Linked DNA regions of Arabidopsis thaliana. The protein of the gene in region 1 binds, or shares a complex with, the protein of each later gene. Each region holds a gene or a part of one and is shown in the gene's direction. Other genes may lie near its edges.

The links.
Region 2: EIF3K (region 1) and EIF3C share a complex: the UniProt entries of both Arabidopsis thaliana proteins name them as parts of the eukaryotic translation initiation factor 3 (eIF-3) complex.
Region 3: EIF3K (region 1) and TIF3B1 share a complex: the UniProt entries of both Arabidopsis thaliana proteins name them as parts of the eukaryotic translation initiation factor 3 (eIF-3) complex.

Annotation. Positions count from the first base shown.
Region 1 is NC_003075.7:16,037,660-16,042,580, reverse strand, and holds EIF3K (eukaryotic translation initiation factor 3K), read left to right. Parts: upstream 1-1,772; 5' UTR 1,773-1,963; coding exon 1,964-2,077; intron 2,078-2,167; coding exon 2,168-2,224; intron 2,225-2,317; coding exon 2,318-2,431; intron 2,432-2,661; coding exon 2,662-2,712; intron 2,713-2,793; coding exon 2,794-2,860; intron 2,861-3,054; coding exon 3,055-3,137; intron 3,138-3,320; coding exon 3,321-3,515; 3' UTR 3,516-3,930; downstream 3,931-4,921. Other genes in the region: CDC20.2 (Transducin family protein / WD-40 repeat family protein), read left to right, coding at 1-77, 180-449, 530-1,111, 1,205-1,348. UniProt on the Arabidopsis thaliana protein: Component of the eukaryotic translation initiation factor 3 (eIF-3) complex, which is involved in protein synthesis of a specialized repertoire of mRNAs and, together with other initiation factors, stimulates binding of mRNA and methionyl-tRNAi to the 40S ribosome.
Region 2 is NC_003074.8:20,833,357-20,840,288, reverse strand, and holds EIF3C (eukaryotic translation initiation factor 3C), read left to right. Parts: upstream 1-3,013; 5' UTR 3,014-3,224; intron 3,225-3,414; exon of another isoform or gene 3,415-3,437; 5' UTR 3,438-3,468; coding exon 3,469-3,492; intron 3,493-3,580; coding exon 3,581-5,335; intron 5,336-5,575; coding exon 5,576-6,499; 3' UTR 6,500-6,879; downstream 6,880-6,932. Other genes in the region: AT3G56160 (Sodium Bile acid symporter family), read left to right, coding at 342-400, 487-555, 801-914, 1,234-1,255, 1,440-1,507, 1,895-1,980, 2,102-2,222, 2,298-2,399 and 1 more. UniProt on the Arabidopsis thaliana protein: Component of the eukaryotic translation initiation factor 3 (eIF-3) complex, which is involved in protein synthesis of a specialized repertoire of mRNAs and, together with other initiation factors, stimulates binding of mRNA and methionyl-tRNAi to the 40S ribosome.
Region 3 is NC_003076.8:9,781,654-9,788,585, reverse strand, and holds the start of TIF3B1 (translation initiation factor 3B1), read left to right. Parts: upstream 1-3,297; 5' UTR 3,298-3,395; intron 3,396-3,410; exon of another isoform or gene 3,411-3,802; 5' UTR 3,803-3,826; coding exon 3,827-3,936; intron 3,937-4,186; coding exon 4,187-4,424; intron 4,425-4,521; coding exon 4,522-4,746; intron 4,747-5,019; coding exon 5,020-5,148; intron 5,149-5,323; coding exon 5,324-5,452; intron 5,453-5,539; coding exon 5,540-5,623; intron 5,624-5,694; coding exon 5,695-5,819; intron 5,820-5,925; coding exon 5,926-6,124; intron 6,125-6,230; coding exon 6,231-6,763; intron 6,764-6,849; coding exon 6,850-6,932. Other genes in the region: AT5G27650 (Tudor/PWWP/MBT superfamily protein), read right to left, coding at 1-1,560, 1,926-3,075. UniProt on the Arabidopsis thaliana protein: RNA-binding component of the eukaryotic translation initiation factor 3 (eIF-3) complex, which is involved in protein synthesis of a specialized repertoire of mRNAs and, together with other initiation factors, stimulates binding of mRNA and methionyl-tRNAi to the 40S ribosome.

The DNA of each region.
Region 1 (4,921 bases):
AACTGCTTCCGAGCAATCACTCTGCTTCTCTTCACCAACAACCCAAATCTGTAAAGCCTCGTCGATACATTCCTCAGGTATGTACTGTATTTATTGCGTTTGATCCTTAAAGCTCACTTACTGGTTGCTGCATTAGAGTTGTATTGATCTGTTGCTAAACTTTCTGTTGTGATTAACAGACTTCTGAGAGAACCTTGGATGCACCTGACATTGTTGACGATTTCTACCTCAACTTGCTGGACTGGGGAAGTGCAAATGTCTTAGCCATAGCGTTGGACCACACTGTCTACTTGTGGGATGCTTCCACTGGTTCTACATCTGAGCTTGTGACCATTGATGAGGAGAAGGGACCTGTCACAAGTATCAACTGGGCTCCTGATGGTCGTCATGTTGCAGTTGGACTCAACAACTCTGAAGTCCAGCTGTGGGATTCTGCATCCAACCGTCAAGTAATTACTACTCTCTCTCTTTTATGTTGAGATATAATATCCGGTGTTCTTAGTCTGATGTGTTTCTCATATTTCTGCAGCTGAGAACATTAAAGGGTGGTCACCAGTCAAGAGTAGGATCACTGGCATGGAACAATCATATCCTTACTACTGGAGGAATGGATGGACTGATCATCAACAATGATGTGAGGATCAGATCACCCATTGTGGAAACTTACAGAGGTCACACTCAAGAAGTTTGTGGGCTCAAGTGGTCAGGATCTGGACAACAACTAGCAAGTGGTGGCAACGACAATGTGGTACACATCTGGGATCGTTCTGTCGCTTCCTCAAACTCAACCACACAATGGCTGCACAGGCTTGAGGAACATACATCTGCTGTGAAGGCTCTTGCGTGGTGCCCTTTCCAAGCGAATTTGCTTGCAACTGGTGGTGGTGGAGGAGACAGGACGATAAAGTTCTGGAATACTCACACTGGGGCTTGCTTGAATTCAGTAGACACTGGTTCCCAAGTTTGTTCGTTGTTATGGAGCAAGAATGAAAGAGAGTTGCTTAGCTCACATGGGTTTACACAGAATCAGCTTACACTTTGGAAGTACCCATCCATGGTGAAAATGGCTGAGCTCACTGGTCATACATCAAGAGTTCTATATATGGCCCAGGTAACGTCATCAATTTCTTTAAGTGGTGAAGTAGTTTGAGTCTTTGAGGTCATTCAGTCCTTAAACTTGTGTTGTTTGTTGTGTTTTCTACAGAGTCCAGATGGTTGTACTGTAGCTTCAGCAGCAGGAGACGAGACCCTGAGGTTTTGGAACGTTTTTGGAGTACCAGAGACTGCAAAAAAAGCTGCACCAAAAGCAGTTGCCGAGCCATTTTCTCATGTGAATCGTATTCGATGAAGCTGTTGAAGACTAAAACAACAAGGAAAACCCATTGATTGTTACAAAAAGAAACTATATATTTTTATTTTTATTTTATTACCAAAGGATTCATTCTTCGTGAATATAAAGATTACTTGTATATATTGAAATTTGAAAAAAGAAAGATTATGATTTTATACTCTTGAAGGATATCCACATTTATTATTCTACTGGAAACAAAGTGAGACTTCATGAAGTTGTGATCAGAGAACTCGTAGATGCTGACAGTTTTGTTTGAAAAGATGTTCACTGGTGAACTTTTGGACCATGGTTAATCGAATGCAAACTCTAGTGTAGTATCAATCTTTAAAAGCAAACTGAGAAAATATTTATTTACCGAGTCTGTGGCATCAAAATGGCTTAAAAATAGTTATTTACTAAACAACCCTTTGTAGTTTCTCTGTCATCCTAATTTAACCCAAACGTTTTGTCAATTGCACCATTAGCCCAAACGACAAAGCTTTGTCGTTTTGGCTTTTAAACCCTAGATTCGTCTTATCAGCGAATCTCCTCTGCACATTCCTCAGTGATCTATCAAAGTTCGAAGAGACCGACGCAAAAGGGACAGAAACGGAGAAGGAGAAAGAGGCAGAGATGGGAGTAGAGATCCAATCGCCGCAGGAACAGAGCTCTTACACCGTTGAGCAGCTCGTCGCCCTTAATCCTTTCAACCCTGAAATCCTGCCTGATCTCGAAAACTACGTTAACGTGCAGTTTCCTTTCCCTTTTCTCTCAAGCCGGATTCTGTTGTAGAAATCGTGTTCCATTGATTGTTGTTGGTTTCGTTATGATTTTCAGGTTACATCGCAAACGTATAGTCTGGAAGTAAACCTATGCTTGCTTCGGCTCTATCAGGTGCTCTAGTTGTTCTTAAGCTGGACCTTTTGATACCAAATTCAAGAGTTTTAGTGTCTCTTTTCGTTAATTGGTATTGTTGCTTTTATGCAGTTTGAGCCTGAGCGCATGAACACTCATATCGTGGCTCGAATCTTGGTCAAGGCTCTTATGGCTATGCCAACTCCAGACTTCAGCCTTTGCCTCTTCTTGATTCCCGAAAGAGTGGTATTCTTCTTTCCTCTTAACTTCACAATGTTTTGCTTTCTTACATATATAGCTTATCGTAGATACAGAAGAAACGATTGTTCAAATGTTTCTGACTCAAGTTATTATGCCATTCCAAGTTATTTCTGTCAGTTCAGTCTGTGTACTGAGCATTCATGATAAAGTGTGAGTTTCAATGTGTTGGATTCTTGAGGACTAATAAATGTACTTGTTTGGATTGTGTGTTTCAGCAAATGGAGGAGCAGTTCAAGTCACTAATTGTTCTATCACACTACCTTGAGGTACGCAAACATCAGTATTAGTTAGTTGAGAGTTGAAAAGGTGTGCATTGAGTATTTAAAGCACTTGTTTTTCTTTTGCAGACTGGGAGGTTCCAACAGTTCTGGGATGAAGCTGCCAAGAACCGTCACATTCTCGAGGCTGTTCCAGGTAACTAACTTCTGAATCATAAATAAATCGTCTACTAATAACAAATTTCTAGATGTAGATTTGTTACTTAAGGATATTTGTGTGTAGATGTCTTATGGTACGAACAAAGTCCTCAGTAGTGGTTTATGGTACTGTCTATTCATTTTATGATTGTGTCTAGTGTAGATGTCTTATATGCGAGAGATTAAATGCAGGTTTTGAGCAAGCTATTCAAGCATATGCAAGTCACCTTCTTAGCTTAAGCTACCAAAAGGTTCCAAGATCAGTGCTGGCTGAGGTATGATGTTTGGTTTATGATCTCGTTTTCACCACGGATAGCTTAAGTCATCAAAATAGTAGAACTTCGGATGTGAAATCTTTTACTTTCTCATATAATTTTCTGTTACGAATATTCCACATCATAGTTCTGGAAATCTAATTTGTTGACCTTTTATTTGTCAATAAATGACAATTTTCACAGGCTGTTAACATGGATGGTGCATCTCTAGACAAATTCATCGAGCAGCAAGTGACTAACAGTGGATGGATTGTTGAGAAAGAGGGTGGAAGTATTGTCTTACCACAAAATGAATTTAACCATCCGGAGCTCAAGAAAAATACAGGTGAGAATGTTCCCTTGGAACACATTGCCCGCATCTTCCCCATCCTTGGTTGAACCAATTCATGAGAACACTGCAAATTTTCCTTTTGTCTCTTGTTATCTTGTGATGTACACTTTTAAGACACCGTAATGTGAATTTTGGCAATGGCCTTCCTCTTTGCAATTTGACAGATTTTCTTAAAAATCTAGTAGACCGAGACTTTGCCATAATTAGTAGATCTTCATAGTCTGAGCTCTGCTTCTTACCTTTTTTTTTACCTTCCATGGATTCCAATACTGGTTTCTCAACAAGTGTTGGAATTGGCTCGTTTCTGATTGATTATCTTCTGTTTACTTCATTACATCTAAATAAACTAAACGAATCTTCAGACAACCCAAACAATTGTCTTCTTTAAAAAGCAAAGGAAAAAAAAAACTTTTGTTTAGGTTTCTTGGAATATAGAAACTGACACGGCAAATTTGTATTGAGAAAGTTTGAAATACAAAGAGACTGTCTATGTCTTGTCGTCCTCTCTACACAGATCACATACGAAGATTGACAGCCATCCATTTGGAAGCTCACATGTTGACACCAAATCATGTCACGTGCACAATTTTCTCTTTTCCCATGCATATTTTGACTGCTCCCTATGTGATAAATTTGACTGATTAAACTATAATTAGTTAGATCATCTCGTATCTAAGATGATTGCTTAAAACAATACTATTATTCTACTAACAACTAGGTTATTCCCAAGATCATAACTTTTGATTTTGATGTAACTAGTTTTGTAATTTTGTACATATATGAGACTTTTTTGAATTGCTTAACAGAATAAATAATTGAATTTTATGAATATAATATATAAATTTTCAATTTGATCGACAACAATGAACGGTGTTTTATTTATAATTGTTTTTTTGACAATCATGAACCTAATGATTTGTTTTTTCTATTTTATTTAGTCGACATAATGAAGACTAATGAAGATACAATATGTGATTGAAGTGAACAAGTTAGATTTAATTAAGATACGTGGAGGATATAAAGAAGGGTGATAAATACGTGAATAAAAAGTGAAATAAACAAAGGCAAACGATCAGACAGACAAGTCGTGAACATAAAAACGGGAGAGACAGGAAAAACAAAAGAAAGCCAGACGAGCACCAAAAAAGAAACTGCAAATCTTCGTTTATGTAAATCTTCTTACCGTCTCTCTCTTGTATTTCTTCAATTTCAAAGGTGGCTTTTTTTTCTTTCTTTGTTGGGTATTAATCTGAGAGAAATTGAGGAAAACTGTTTTCCCCTTTCTATGTTCTCAGCTTGGCACTTTTCTTTGAGATTATGGTTAATTGGTTCCCTTTTGGAAATTGATTTCAAATCTTATCCAGAAGAAATTTGGTGCCTTCTGTTTTTAAACAAATTTTCTAGAGTTTCCGTGTTTAATTTTTGTTTCTTATTTTGTTTTCTATTAAAAAAT
Region 2 (6,932 bases), on another chromosome or scaffold:
CAAGTAAAACTTCAAAGACCACGTTCTTTCCTGAACTTGTTACTGCTTATATTGTATCGGCTTCCATTGATTTACATTACATCTACAGTTTTTGTTAAATTGTCTCTCGTTATATAATATCTGACAACTAATTGATCAACTATAGCTGCGTTATTAAGTAGTAATCTGATTGCCTTTGTGATCTTGTATCCAACAGTTCCACTTTGACGTTGTCTTTGAATCTTGATCCGTTTCTTACATTTATGGTTCAATTTTGAATACCTTATTCTTCAGTTCCAGCTCAGTAGTGAGTTAGTGATTGAGGAGTCCAAAACTTATGTATGTCCTTTTGCTCTTTACAGGGCTGGGTATATTTTGCTGTATGCCAACCACCTTATCAAGTGGTGTTGCCCTTACTCACGTACTCAATTTGATATAAGTCTAATCAATATTTTGTGCAAAACTGTTTTTCTTGCGTTCCACTGACTTATCATATTGCCAATTCAGCTTGCTGGTGGTAATGCTGCTCTTGCTCTTGCTGTGACAGTGGCATCTAACTTATTAGGAATTTTAACTGTAAGCCGAACGACTTGCATATTATTGTTCCTCCTTTGAAACTAGTTGATCATGCAGAATCAGGGGTATTTTTAGTAAGATTGTTTCCTGGTCTATATTTCCGAATTGCTTAGCAATTTGTTCTCAAAACAACTCATGATCTTGTATCTATGACTATGAGTAGGATTCAAACTTCAAAGTCTTCTATTAAGAATGAGTATTGCGTCTTCTGACACTGAAGTTAACGTGGTTTGACCTCTAATCAGATTCCATTTTGGGTATCAAGATACATAGCTGGGGGAGTAGGGGTTTCGTTTCCTACTGACCAACTATTCAGAAGTCTTATAGTTACTCTGTTAATTCCTTTAATCATTGGCAAGGTGAGACAATCTTTCTGTTTGTCCTGTTCTTGCAATGATGAATCAATATAAATTCTGATATACGGTACAATTGTGAAAGCTAAATTTGCAGAGGTGGTTGTTGCCAAAAGATATGTGAATACTTTATTGGAAATTATAATAGGGTTGTTGCGTGGCTCATTTGAAAATGAAGAAAGCTTACTCTCTATTATTTGTTACTTTCCCTGATGTTTATATGAACCTTTCACAAACAGTCATTTCAGCATGAAGTTCTATCACTTGCCATTTTGCACACGTTTTTAAAATCGAGCTTTGACATACTTGGTTTCTTCTGTTATAGGTTATTCGAGAATCATTCAAAGGTGAGCGCCATTTGTTATATTTTACTTCTCTGGTGAAAGTAATTGAATACATACCATTTTAAATAGTTAGCAGTCACTTTATCGTGACAATGGATCAAAATGGTTCTGTTTATAATAAATATATATGCTTATCGCTGCCTACTTTCTGACCTTGTTGAAACTCTTGTTGAAATGTGTGATACAGGTTTCGCAAACTTTGTTGACAATAACCGTAAACTCTTTTCGAAAATCAACGCAATCTGCCTCAGTTTGGTAAGATATGAAATGTTAGTCTCCCGTAATTTCTACACCCCTTGAATAACTTTCTGAAGTCATATCCTTGGAGTTTTGCTTTGTTGCAGGAATCTTAAACTTGGCATTTTAGATGCCTGTACTTAAAACTTTCTCTTTTCTTGTATGATAGCTTGGGATTTCAACATTCCGTGGCATTGATGTGCCAATCCAAAGCTTTTACTAAATTGCAAAAACCATATTTGCAGTCACGGTTATGACTTTGGAGATAGAAGGACTTAATACTTTTTTCCTTTTTATAGTTTAACCTCTGCTTCCCTGGCTACTTCAACTGGTCTGACTTTGTTATTGCATTTACCTGGTTATTTTGGGAACTTAATAGTGTTTATTCCATGATTAATATTCTAGGTGCCATGGATCCAAGTGAGCAGGTCAAGATCACTGCTACTATCCGTTCAACCTAAGGTTTTCCTTGCAGCAGTTGGCATTGGAATGTACGCATTCTTCTTTTAACATATAGAAAAGATACCAAGTGAAGAAGCTCATGGAAATATTTGGCTTGTGTGTTAGAAATGCGGATTACGTTTGACAGAAGATTCTTACGTCTTCTTACAGATTGCTGCATCTTTCTCTACTAGCATTCAATGCTGTTTCAATCCGCATCCTCTCCGGTCTTACAGGTGGTAGCAAGAGCTCCAAGGAAAACAGCACTGCAGTTTTGCTCGTTTCAAGCCAGGTAATAATAGAGTTTGCCTTTTAGAACCGATTTTGATCTCTTAAATTTGGGAGTTCTTTTCTTGTGGTGGCATAGAAAACATTACCGGTAATGGTGGCGGTAGTAGAGCAATTAGGAGGTGCATTTGGTGAGACAGGGCTATTGGTTCTTCCTTGTGTAGCTGCACACCTGAACCAGGTTACAAATTGTATTATAATCATCATGTACTTGTGTGCATAATTTTATAAATTATTGACGTAAATCTGGAATGTTACAGATCATGATTGATTCAGTTCTTGTCAACTTATGGCTCCGGAGAGGAAAAGATACTTCGACTAAAGTAAAGACAGCTTGAGAGAGAGAGAGAGAGATAGAAAGCAATGAAACCAATGCTGTGGAGAAGGTTACATCCTAAACACACTGAATGTCAGTTATATACATAGCAGCAAGACTGGGGATTTTGATATCTTTCCAATCACCAAAGCTTAGTTGATCATTGACCATCTCTCTCTCTCTCTCTCTTTCTGTATGTATATGCTCTAGAGATTCCGGTCGGTGTTTGCTGATCCAATTTGTATGATTTATGAAACTATGTAAAAAAAAAACTTGTATCTATATTTGAAAACATTTAGTCATTTGACGTTACCAGCGTACAAAGCAATTCATATGTAATCTGTCTGATAAGCAGCTAGGAAAGAGGACTAAGAACCGGTTCTTTTCTCAATTTAATTGAACTAACCATCACTACAATTTCATTTAGTCCTGGTTCGACCAATTCGGTTTGTAAATAAAATAAAAACCGATCGAGAGCGTTTTAATTGTCCTCGGTTTTCAGTTTCGGTATGGAAATAGAATCAAATCGAATCCGGTTTAGTGAGTAAATCACGAAACCCTAATTCTATATATTTTTTCATCTCGACCAAAATGCTTGGACGGCTACACACCATTTTTGTTTAGATTCGTAATCCTCCTCAAGCATCTCCTTCGCAAATCTCCATCTCCATCTCCATCTTCTGAATTCAGGTAATTTTGTTCCTCATCATCTAGCGTAACAAATTTTCGATTCTAGTTTGGTGTAGATTGATTCGAATCGATTCTAATTCTTTGTTGATACGAGTCTGTATCTGTGACACGATTGTTTCGTTCAGATTATGTTCTTCGAATGGATTGGTTTGTTTTACTTATAATTTCGTTCCTCTGATTCACTATTCAGATTTGTTACTTTTGGTGTATCAGGTTCTTGTTGCTTACGCTTCCAGCTAAAAAGATGACGTCTCGTTTTTTCACTCAGGTTTCCTTCAACAGACCTCTTGTTTATAAACTCTCTTTACCTTTACTTGCTTCAGTTTCTGAATGATTTTTACTTGTTATGTTGATAGGTTGGAAGTGAAAGTGAAGATGAAAGTGATTATGAGGTAGAGGTTAATGAGGTTCAGAATGATGACGTCAATAACCGTTACCTTCAAAGTGGTAGTGAGGATGATGATGATACTGATACGAAACGTGTGGTTAAGCCTGCTAAGGATAAACGTTTTGAGGAGATGACCTACACTGTTGATCAGATGAAGAATGCTATGAAGATCAATGATTGGGTCAGCCTTCAAGAAAACTTTGATAAGGTTAACAAACAGCTTGAGAAGGTTATGAGGATTACTGAGGCTGTGAAGCCTCCTACCTTGTATATCAAGACGCTTGTTATGTTGGAGGATTTCTTGAATGAAGCTCTTGCCAATAAGGAAGCCAAGAAGAAGATGAGTACTAGTAACTCCAAGGCTTTGAACTCAATGAAACAGAAATTGAAGAAGAACAATAAGTTGTACGAAGACGATATCAACAAGTATCGTGAGGCTCCAGAAGTTGAGGAAGAGAAACAACCTGAAGATGATGATGATGATGACGATGATGATGATGAGGTTGAAGATGATGATGATTCTTCCATCGACGGACCTACCGTAGATCCTGGGTCCGATGTGGATGAACCTACTGATAATCTCACTTGGGAGAAGATGCTGAGCAAAAAAGATAAGCTTTTGGAGAAGCTAATGAATAAAGATCCTAAAGAGATCACTTGGGACTGGGTCAACAAGAAGTTCAAGGAAATTGTGGCTGCTCGTGGAAAAAAGGGCACTGCTCGATTTGAGCTAGTTGATCAGCTTACGCACTTGACAAAGATTGCCAAGACTCCTGCACAGAAGCTTGAAATCTTGTTTAGCGTTATTTCGGCTCAGTTTGATGTGAATCCAGGTCTCAGCGGGCACATGCCTATCAATGTCTGGAAGAAATGCGTGCTTAACATGCTCACCATACTGGACATTCTCGTCAAGTACAGTAACATTGTTGTGGATGACACAGTTGAGCCTGATGAGAACGAAACTTCAAAGCCAACAGATTATGATGGAAAAATTCGGGTCTGGGGAAATTTGGTTGCATTCTTGGAGAGGGTTGACACTGAGTTTTTCAAGAGTTTGCAATGCATTGATCCTCACACCCGTGAGTATGTTGAGAGGCTAAGGGATGAGCCCATGTTCTTGGCCCTTGCTCAGAACATCCAGGACTACTTTGAGCGGATGGGTGATTTTAAAGCTGCTGCAAAGGTAGCCTTAAGACGTGTTGAGGCAATATACTACAAGCCCCAGGAAGTTTATGATGCAATGAGGAAATTGGCTGAGTTGGTGGAAGAAGAAGAAGAAACTGAGGAGGCCAAAGAGGAAAGTGGACCTCCTACTTCATTTATTGTTGTTCCGGAGGTTGTTCCCCGTAAGCCTACCTTCCCAGAGAGCAGCCGAGCTATGATGGATATTCTTGTGTCCCTTATCTACAGAAATGGAGATGAGCGGACCAAAGCGCGTGCGATGCTATGTGATATCAATCACCATGCTTTAATGGACAACTTTGTGACTGCTAGAGACCTGTTGCTGATGAGTCATCTGCAAGACAACATCCAGCACATGGACATCTCAACACAGATTCTCTTTAACAGGACCATGGCGCAGCTTGGTCTTTGCGCCTTCCGGGCTGGAATGATCACTGAGTCCCATAGCTGCCTTTCCGAGCTGTACTCTGGTCAAAGAGTGAGAGAGTTGCTTGCCCAAGGTGTCTCGCAAAGCCGATACCATGAGAAAACCCCGGAGCAGGTAACTAGTTATCTTCTGTTTTTAGATTTAATACAGATAGGATTGAAAAAAAATTGTTTGACCAGATAGTTCTGATTGAGACATGATTACAAACACTGTTGCATTTTTGGGTTCTTCATTTTGTTTCATTTCACACAATCCATTTTCTCTATTTCAACATGGATGCTTATGGTTATGTTTTTCGTTCAGTTTATTTATATGTGATATAAAACTTTCTTGGTTTATTTCTTGATTTACCAGGAAAGGATGGAAAGGAGAAGACAAATGCCGTACCACATGCACTTAAACCTTGAGCTTCTGGAGGCAGTTCATCTCATCTGTGCCATGCTTCTTGAAGTCCCAAACATGGCTGCAAACTCGCACGATGCCAAACGCAGAGTGATTAGCAAGAATTTCCGCCGCCTGCTCGAGATCAGTGAAAGGCAAGCATTCACTGCACCGCCTGAGAATGTACGTGACCATGTCATGGCAGCCACCAGAGCCCTGACCAAAGGAGATTTCCAGAAGGCGTTTGAAGTTTTGAACTCTCTTGAGGTCTGGAGGCTGCTCAAGAACCGTGACAGCATCCTTGACATGGTGAAGGATAGGATCAAAGAAGAGGCTCTAAGGACTTACCTATTCACATACTCAAGCTCTTATGAGTCCTTGAGTCTTGATCAGCTGGCCAAAATGTTTGACGTCTCTGAGCCGCAGGTCCACAGCATTGTGAGTAAGATGATGATTAATGAGGAACTGCATGCAAGCTGGGATCAGCCAACACGATGCATCGTCTTCCATGAAGTGCAACACAGCAGATTACAATCATTGGCTTTCCAGTTAACGGAGAAACTCTCGATTTTGGCAGAAAGCAATGAGAGGGCAATGGAATCTAGAACCGGTGGAGGTGGTCTGGATCTGAGTTCAAGGAGAAGGGACAACAATCAGGACTATGCAGGAGCAGCATCAGGTGGTGGTGGATATTGGCAAGACAAGGCGAATTACGGACAAGGAAGACAAGGCAACAGATCAGGTTATGGTGGAGGAAGATCATCTGGACAAAATGGTCAGTGGTCAGGGCAGAACCGAGGAGGAGGGTATGCAGGAAGAGTTGGTTCAGGAAACAGAGGTATGCAGATGGATGGCTCAAGCCGTATGGTGAGTCTTAACCGAGGTGTTCGTACTTAAAGAGGATGAGGAGAAATCTGCAGTGTTGACCTTAGTCTCAACCTTTTGTTATGTTTTGGATTCCTTTTGGTTATCAAATGGTTCTTTCTAAGAGATGTTCATCACATTTTCTCGCATTGTGATTGTTTATTTTCTTTGTGATATTGGCAGTTGTTGGAAAAGACTTTTAAGAATGCTTTACTGGAAAGTTTAATAAGTTTTTTTTTATGCGTCATTCTTGTTGAAAAGAAGAAGGCTTAGGTTTTTTCTCGTATGCTTGCAGGTCTGTTTTTGTTGATGTCTTTTACTCTTTCATCTTTGTTTGCTTAGTAACTTCCTCTCGATGAAGTGTTTGATTAATTTCTTATCAAGAACATCTGTGATTTAATCGGCTACTTTCGTGGAGCTAGCGACAATGAATATTGTTGAGAAAATTCTTTTTTTTTTTTGGAAC
Region 3 (6,932 bases), on another chromosome or scaffold:
GCGGTAATGTTGGTTGGTGAAGCGGTGGTGCTTGGTCCAACCACTGGCTCTGTGGTTCATCATCTTCCTTGGTGTTTTCTGGCTCACGAGGCTCGGCTTTAGGAGCATCCACATCACGGAGAAAGTACTTTACATTCACGTTTCCAAATAGAGTGTTGTTTCCTGTTGCATATCGAAAAGCAGTCTGGGCATCGGCTTTGTACAGAAAGACAACACGGCAGGTCGATGATTTCCAGAAAACCCTAATGGCGGATTGATCTAACAGCCCGAAGCGACCAAACCTCGCCTTTAGCAATGCGGCTGAAGGGAGAGATGTGCCAGGTGGGAATTTCATGACCAGCATTGTTGGCTCAACCACCTTAACTGATGGAGCTGTTTTCTTCCCGGTTTGACCTCTGGCTGGTTTTGCTTGTACCACCCTGCTTGGCTCTCTTATTGGTTTTATACTATCCTTTGCTTCTCGAATGATCTTCTTTTCAGAAGCCATTGATTTCAACTGATTAGTTTTCTTCAGCTTCTTAGCTGATGGGATTTCATCTTGACGATCAGAAGAGAGCCGTTTTTTTCCAGCTTTTGATGGGTCTTCGGTTCTCTTCACTGTCTTGACAGGTTTTGAGGGTTTTGTGTCTCTGGCATTTTCGACAGTAGCATCAGAGGAAGATACAGACAAGCTTTTCTGGTAATTAAGTGAACGGAAACGGAGAAAAAATTTCCTAGCAGTTCCAAAAGAAGCAACGGATAAACCGTGGAAAGGGTCAAGAGAGAGATCTTGCAGATGGCTCAACAGCTGCGGCACATCGGCTTCCATATAGGTTTGTAAATGCGCTGAACCAAGCTGGGACAATTTCTTGGCCCCAGCTTCCCCAGAATACAAATTTTTTCTCTTCACTGGATGGTCAGAATCAGGCTCTTTCTTCTTTTTCTTTTTCTTTTTTGGCTCTGAAGGAGGATTCTCCGAGCTCATTTCACTTGAAGATCGTTTAGCAACTTTGACTTTCTTGATTACAGACCCTGTGGAACTTTTCCCCTCAGATGCTGAGGTATGAGACTCAAGCAGAGGCTGGAGAGAACTTCCAGCTGATCCAAGATCTGTTCCAGCTTCTTCTTTAGGTTTAAGACTCGCCATAGCTTCAGATTTCCCATGCTCTGGAAGTACAGCAGCTCTTTCTTCCATTCTCTCCTTTGATTTTTCAGCTAGACCCTTTTCTTCATCAAGAGAGGGCTTTGAAGCTGAAAATTCTTTACCAGGAATAGCTGTATTTGAAGAGGCAAAATCCATGCTGACGATCCCAGACTTCTCATCTTTCATTGGAGTTTGAAGCGTCGGAGCTCTTCTCTGCAGCCCAAAATCCCCATCCAAAGATCCATCAATTCCCTGGATATGAGAAGCTTCTGAACTTGCTTCAATTTCGCCAAACTGAACAGACTTATCACCAGCTTCATCCCTTCGTTTGAGAAGATACTTGTCTTTTTTTTTAGAGACCTTAACCTTTGTGGGTTTTTTAGAGCTCTTAAGGTCACCTAGCGTTTCTGCTATGACCAGTGGGCCACTCAAGGGAGCTGGAAATAAGAGAAATTGAAACAACACATCACCCACCAAGAAAATGAACAATAAAGCAAACAAGGTAAATGTATGCGGGACTCTCCATAGTAGAAAGAGGCGCAGAATTGTTATCAGGCCACGTTTTCGAATGCACAGTTTAGCATCAATGAGACTTCACTATTCTTTCAAGCATGCTATGTAAAGAATTCAACTACAAAGATATAAATCCTAAAATCATGAGCACAGAGGATCTAAAAGTAAAACCCTAAAACCAAGTTACAGTATCTAATATCTATGTAACACATATGAAAGCTGTTTCAAGTCTACAACGAAAAAACCCATATACAAACAATAACATGATTTTCTGAAAAGTGGCTAATACCTCGAGGCGGTGCTCTATTATGAGGTTCCAGCGTACTCACTGAACTGCGGGGTGATTTTGTCCCAAAGGCCTGTGCATAAGTTTCATCAAACTCCTCAAACACTGACTTGCGGAAAGCAAAAACCACTGCTTTCTTCTTCATAAACTTTAAACTGTCTGGATCACACTCTTGAGGTGCTAACGCCAATTGCTTCACAAACGAAATGGTTTCAGCGGGTAAAAACTTATCCCTAGAATTCTTAATCTGATCAACAGAGTAAACGGCTTGAAGCTCGTAATCAGGCACATCAACAGCAAAGTAATCTTCCACATTACTAGGCCTAAAGTTATAAGGATTCCGACATTTACAAGTCAAACCAAGAGCTGACCTTCTACTCGCCTCATCCTTGGCTTCCTCCACAGCTCTCACAAAATGCTTCGAAACCGTCTGCTGTGATTTCTCCTCTAAATTCGGTTCGAAAGGAATAAGCTCAGCAGGATCAAACCAACCATAACTACTATCACCGAAAAACGCAACAAGAACATGATCAATCCTCCTCATACGACGAACAGAAGGAGACGCAAAAGCTTCATTGAATATATGACCAGGCCACCAAGGATGAGACTTTACCTTTCCCCAAACCAAATCTCCAACTTCAAACCCATAACTCAATGCCCTCGAAACTCCAGAACCCATTTTCTCACTTGCAACATAATCATCAAACTCAGATAAAAGAGATTTATAATCCGAAACTCCTTTTTTCTCTTCCTTCAAACCCAAATCTAATTCCTTCTCATCAGCTTCAGAACCAAGCTCACTAGATTGATCATCAGAGCCATCTTCTTCTTCTTCTTCTTCTTTAACCTCAGAACTCTCATCATCCTTATCAATTAAAACATCCTCGCTTTTAATCTCATCTTCCTCCTCACTCCCTACGACACCATCTTTCTCCGATCTCTCACTTTCGAGAACCCTAGCGTCATTTGTAACCGCCGAATCTAGCTCCATAGGTGAAGAAGCTTCAACATCATCATCAATGGCTTCGTGAACATCCCCGCTCGAATCAACTACAGTATCATCTGGAGTTACCTTAGGATCCTGAATCGAATCCGTTTGTTGAACAATCACAGCATCCTCGTTCATCACCGGGATTAATTTAGTTTTGTACATTACAAATCGATAAGAACCCTAGCAACAACAACAACGATCCTCCGATGAGAGATTATCCGAATTTGGTTCTCGAGGACACCAAATGAAAGAGACGGATTATTGTTAAAAAAAAAAAAAAGCTAATCGAGAGAAAGACAATAAATTAGATCTACTGATTACTATTGAATTGGGCTTACCCGGCCCATATAAATATTTATAAGCCCGTTTAAGGAACCGACGTCGTATGATCCAAAAAGACCTGAAAACAATCGCTCCTTCTTCCTCACCTTCAAGCGCCGTCTTCTTCTTTGTTTTTTGCTCTCGGCTGATCTCTGTATTGGGTACGTTTCTTATCTCGATTTCAGTGTTCATTTGTTTTTTTTGTCTTTTCTTATGTAGCTATGAGACAGGATCCAGAACGATGCAATAGATATAAGAGAGCCTTCAGGAAAATTTTGCCATTTTTCTCCATTTCACCTGTTGTTGGGTTCTAGATTAAATAAAACTAGAGTATAGTTAATAATTTCTATAGGCATGGTTTTAGATTTACATTATAGTGGGAGTGATGATTCAAAGTTTTAGTCTTTGAACATTTGGCCATGGTAGTTTGTTGTTTTAATACTTGTTTAGGGTTAACAAAAAACCTACTTTTAGATCTAAAGACTCAGATTTTTCACATTTATTTATCGACTTAAAGTTGGAATGTGTTAAAGACTGATAGCTCTCTCTATATGGCTTTCTTTGGCAGATTTTTGATATAAGGTTTGAAATCATGGAGGTCGTTGATATTGATGCCCGAGCTGCTAAGTTAGGGATTGATTGGTCTCAGGTTAATTTTGATTCCATCCAACTTCCTCCTGGAGAAGACTTTGGGATCGAGAGGTGAGATTTTCCTTTAGATCTCTGGTTGTTCATATACGGTCACTTCTATTTCTAATCTTCTTGTGTTTATACGATGGGATGATTTTATTCTAGGTTTTGCTATTGTATGTATGAAAATTTTGTGTATTTCGAATTGGTTTATCTCTTTCCTTGATGGTGCAAAGCTTATTATATTTATACATTTTATCTATGAACGTATGAAAAATGGAACTGATTCGTTATACACTTTTTTTTTCTGTGATGGTTGTAGTGATGATGAAGCTGTTTACCAGGATGACCAGTCTGAATTCGACACTGGATTCGGTAACATTATCGTGGTCGATCACCTCCCTGTTGTTCCCAAGGAGAAGTTTGAGAAACTTGAAGGTGTTGTCAAGAAAATTTACAACCAGTTAGGTGTGATTAAGGAAAATGGACTGTGGATGCCTGTTGATCCCGATACCAAGATGACATTGGGCTACTGTTTTATTGAGTTCAACACTCCTCAGGTTATTTATCTACTTGATTAGCTTAATCTCTGTTTTGTTGGATTCTGAAGCAATAATGTCGGCGTCATATGTTTCAATACTTTATTTCTCTTGTTAGAAAGGAGCCCAAACTAGGTTGTTCTTAATGGTTGAGTATTTCCTAAGAGTTTCTCTCAATGTCTGGGGCTCTTTGCAGGAAGCACAAAACGCTAAGGAAAAGTCTCATGGCTACAAGTTGGACAAGTCTCACATCTTTGCTGTAAACATGTTCGATGATTTTGACAGGTTGATGAATGTGAAGGAGGAGTGGGAGCCTCCTCAGGCCAGGCCCTACGTCCCTGGGGTATGTGTAGTTTTCATCATGTTACTCCCTGTACCTTGAATAATTTTCTTTGAATAACTTCCATTGTGTCTGTGTAATCACTTCTTTATTTTGGTAATTCGCTGATTTATTTTGTGTTTGCCTGCTGCGTTAGGGTTAGGATCTTTTTACGTAATTGATGTATACTAACTAATAACTATAATTTCATAACTCTTGTTTCATGTATATATTTTAATTCATTGCAGCCTTTTGTGGTGCTAATTGTCGTTACTTATATGGTGTTTGTTTTTTCAGGAAAATTTGCAAAAATGGCTTACTGATGAAAAAGCCCGAGACCAGCTAGTCATTCGTTCTGGCCCTGATACTGAAGTTTTCTGGAATGATACTAGGCAGAAGGCGCCTGAACCTGTTCATAAGCGTCCTGTAAGTTACTTCCTGTGTGTATATCCCTTTTGTTTACTTGACTGTTTAGAGCAATGTATATGTTATGTTACCTTCATTTGAATTAATATCCCTTATTTGTTTACTTGACTGTTTAGAGCACTTTTATATGTTATGTTACCTTCATTTGAATTAATGATGTTCTCTTCCTATGCAGTATTGGACAGAGAGTTATGTGCAGTGGTCTCCTTTAGGTACATACCTTGTGACACTCCACAAGCAGGGGGCAGCTGTTTGGGGTGGTGCTGATACATTCACGCGTCTCATGCGTTATCAGCATTCTATGGTTTGAATTTCCTTTCAATTGCTACATATTACTTCCGTTTTTCCTCTGTTGGCCTGAAAATTGCATCTTTTGTTGATTATGTTTTAGGTAAAACTAGTTGATTTCTCGCCAGGTGAGAAATATCTTGTAACTTACCATAGCCAAGAACCAAGCAACCCGCGAGATGCAAGTGTGAGTGCATCTTTTCTTCTGTTCTTTTCAACTTTTACTATTTGTGACGCTGAATTCTGTCAAACTTTCAGAAAGTTGAGATTAAGGTTTTTGATGTGAGAACCGGGAGGATGATGAGAGATTTCAAGGGTAGTGCTGATGAGTTTTCAATTGGAGGACCTGGTGGTGTTGCTGGTGCCTCTTGGCCTGTTTTCAGGTAATTCTTTCAACTGCATGTCAATGTCCTAAAAATAAACAGCCAATATTATCATCTTCTCCACTATTATGGACATATGTTGATATCTTGTAAACTTTTTCTACAGATGGGCTGGTGGAAAAGATGATAAATACTTTGCCAAGCTTAGCAAAAACACTATCTCTGTCTATGAGACTGAGACTTTCAGCCTAATAGACAAGAAATCCATGAAGGTAGATAATGTTGTGGATATCTGCTGGTCTCCTACTGATTCCATCCTTTCATTGTTTGTTCCTGAACAAGGTGGTGGAAACCAACCTGCGAAGGTATGTTTCTATTATTTCTGATGTACATGAAAAGCTCTGAATCCTTAATTTGCTTCTGTTTCTCTGCCTGGTGTTTTGAAATTACATGTTGATATCCCTTCTTCAGGTTGCCCTAGTCCAAATCCCGAGCAAGGTGGAGCTGAGGCAGAAGAATCTCTTCAGTGTGAGCGACTGCAAGATGTACTGGCAGAGTAGTGGAGAGTATCTTGCTGTCAAGGTTGATCGATACACAAAAACTAAGAAGAGCACATACTCTGGATTTGAACTTTTCCGTATCAAAGAAAGGGATATTCCCATCGAGGTTCTTGAGCTGGACAACAAGAACGACAAGATCATTGCTTTTGCATGGGAGCCCAAGGGTCACAGGTTTGCTGTGATTCATGGTGACCAACCAAGACCAGATGTCAGTTTCTACTCAATGAAGACCGCACAAAACACTGGAAGGGTTTCAAAGCTCGCAACTTTGAAGGCCAAACAAGCTAATGCCCTCTTCTGGTCGCCCACAGGCAAGTACATAATTCTTGCTGGGTTAAAAGGTTTCAATGGCCAGCTTGAATTTTTCAACGTGGATGAGCTCGAGACAATGGCCACAGCTGAACACTTCATGGCCACGGATATCGAATGGGACCCGACTGGAAGGTCCTACTGTCTTAACTAAACCAGTCCTTTGGTTGTTTCTATTTGTTCCAATTGCTGATGTTGTTTGCACTTTTTTATTTTCAAAGGTACGTTGCAACCGCAGTGACATCAGTCCATGAGATGGAGAATGGGTTCACCATATGGTCTTTCAACGGGATTATGCTTTACC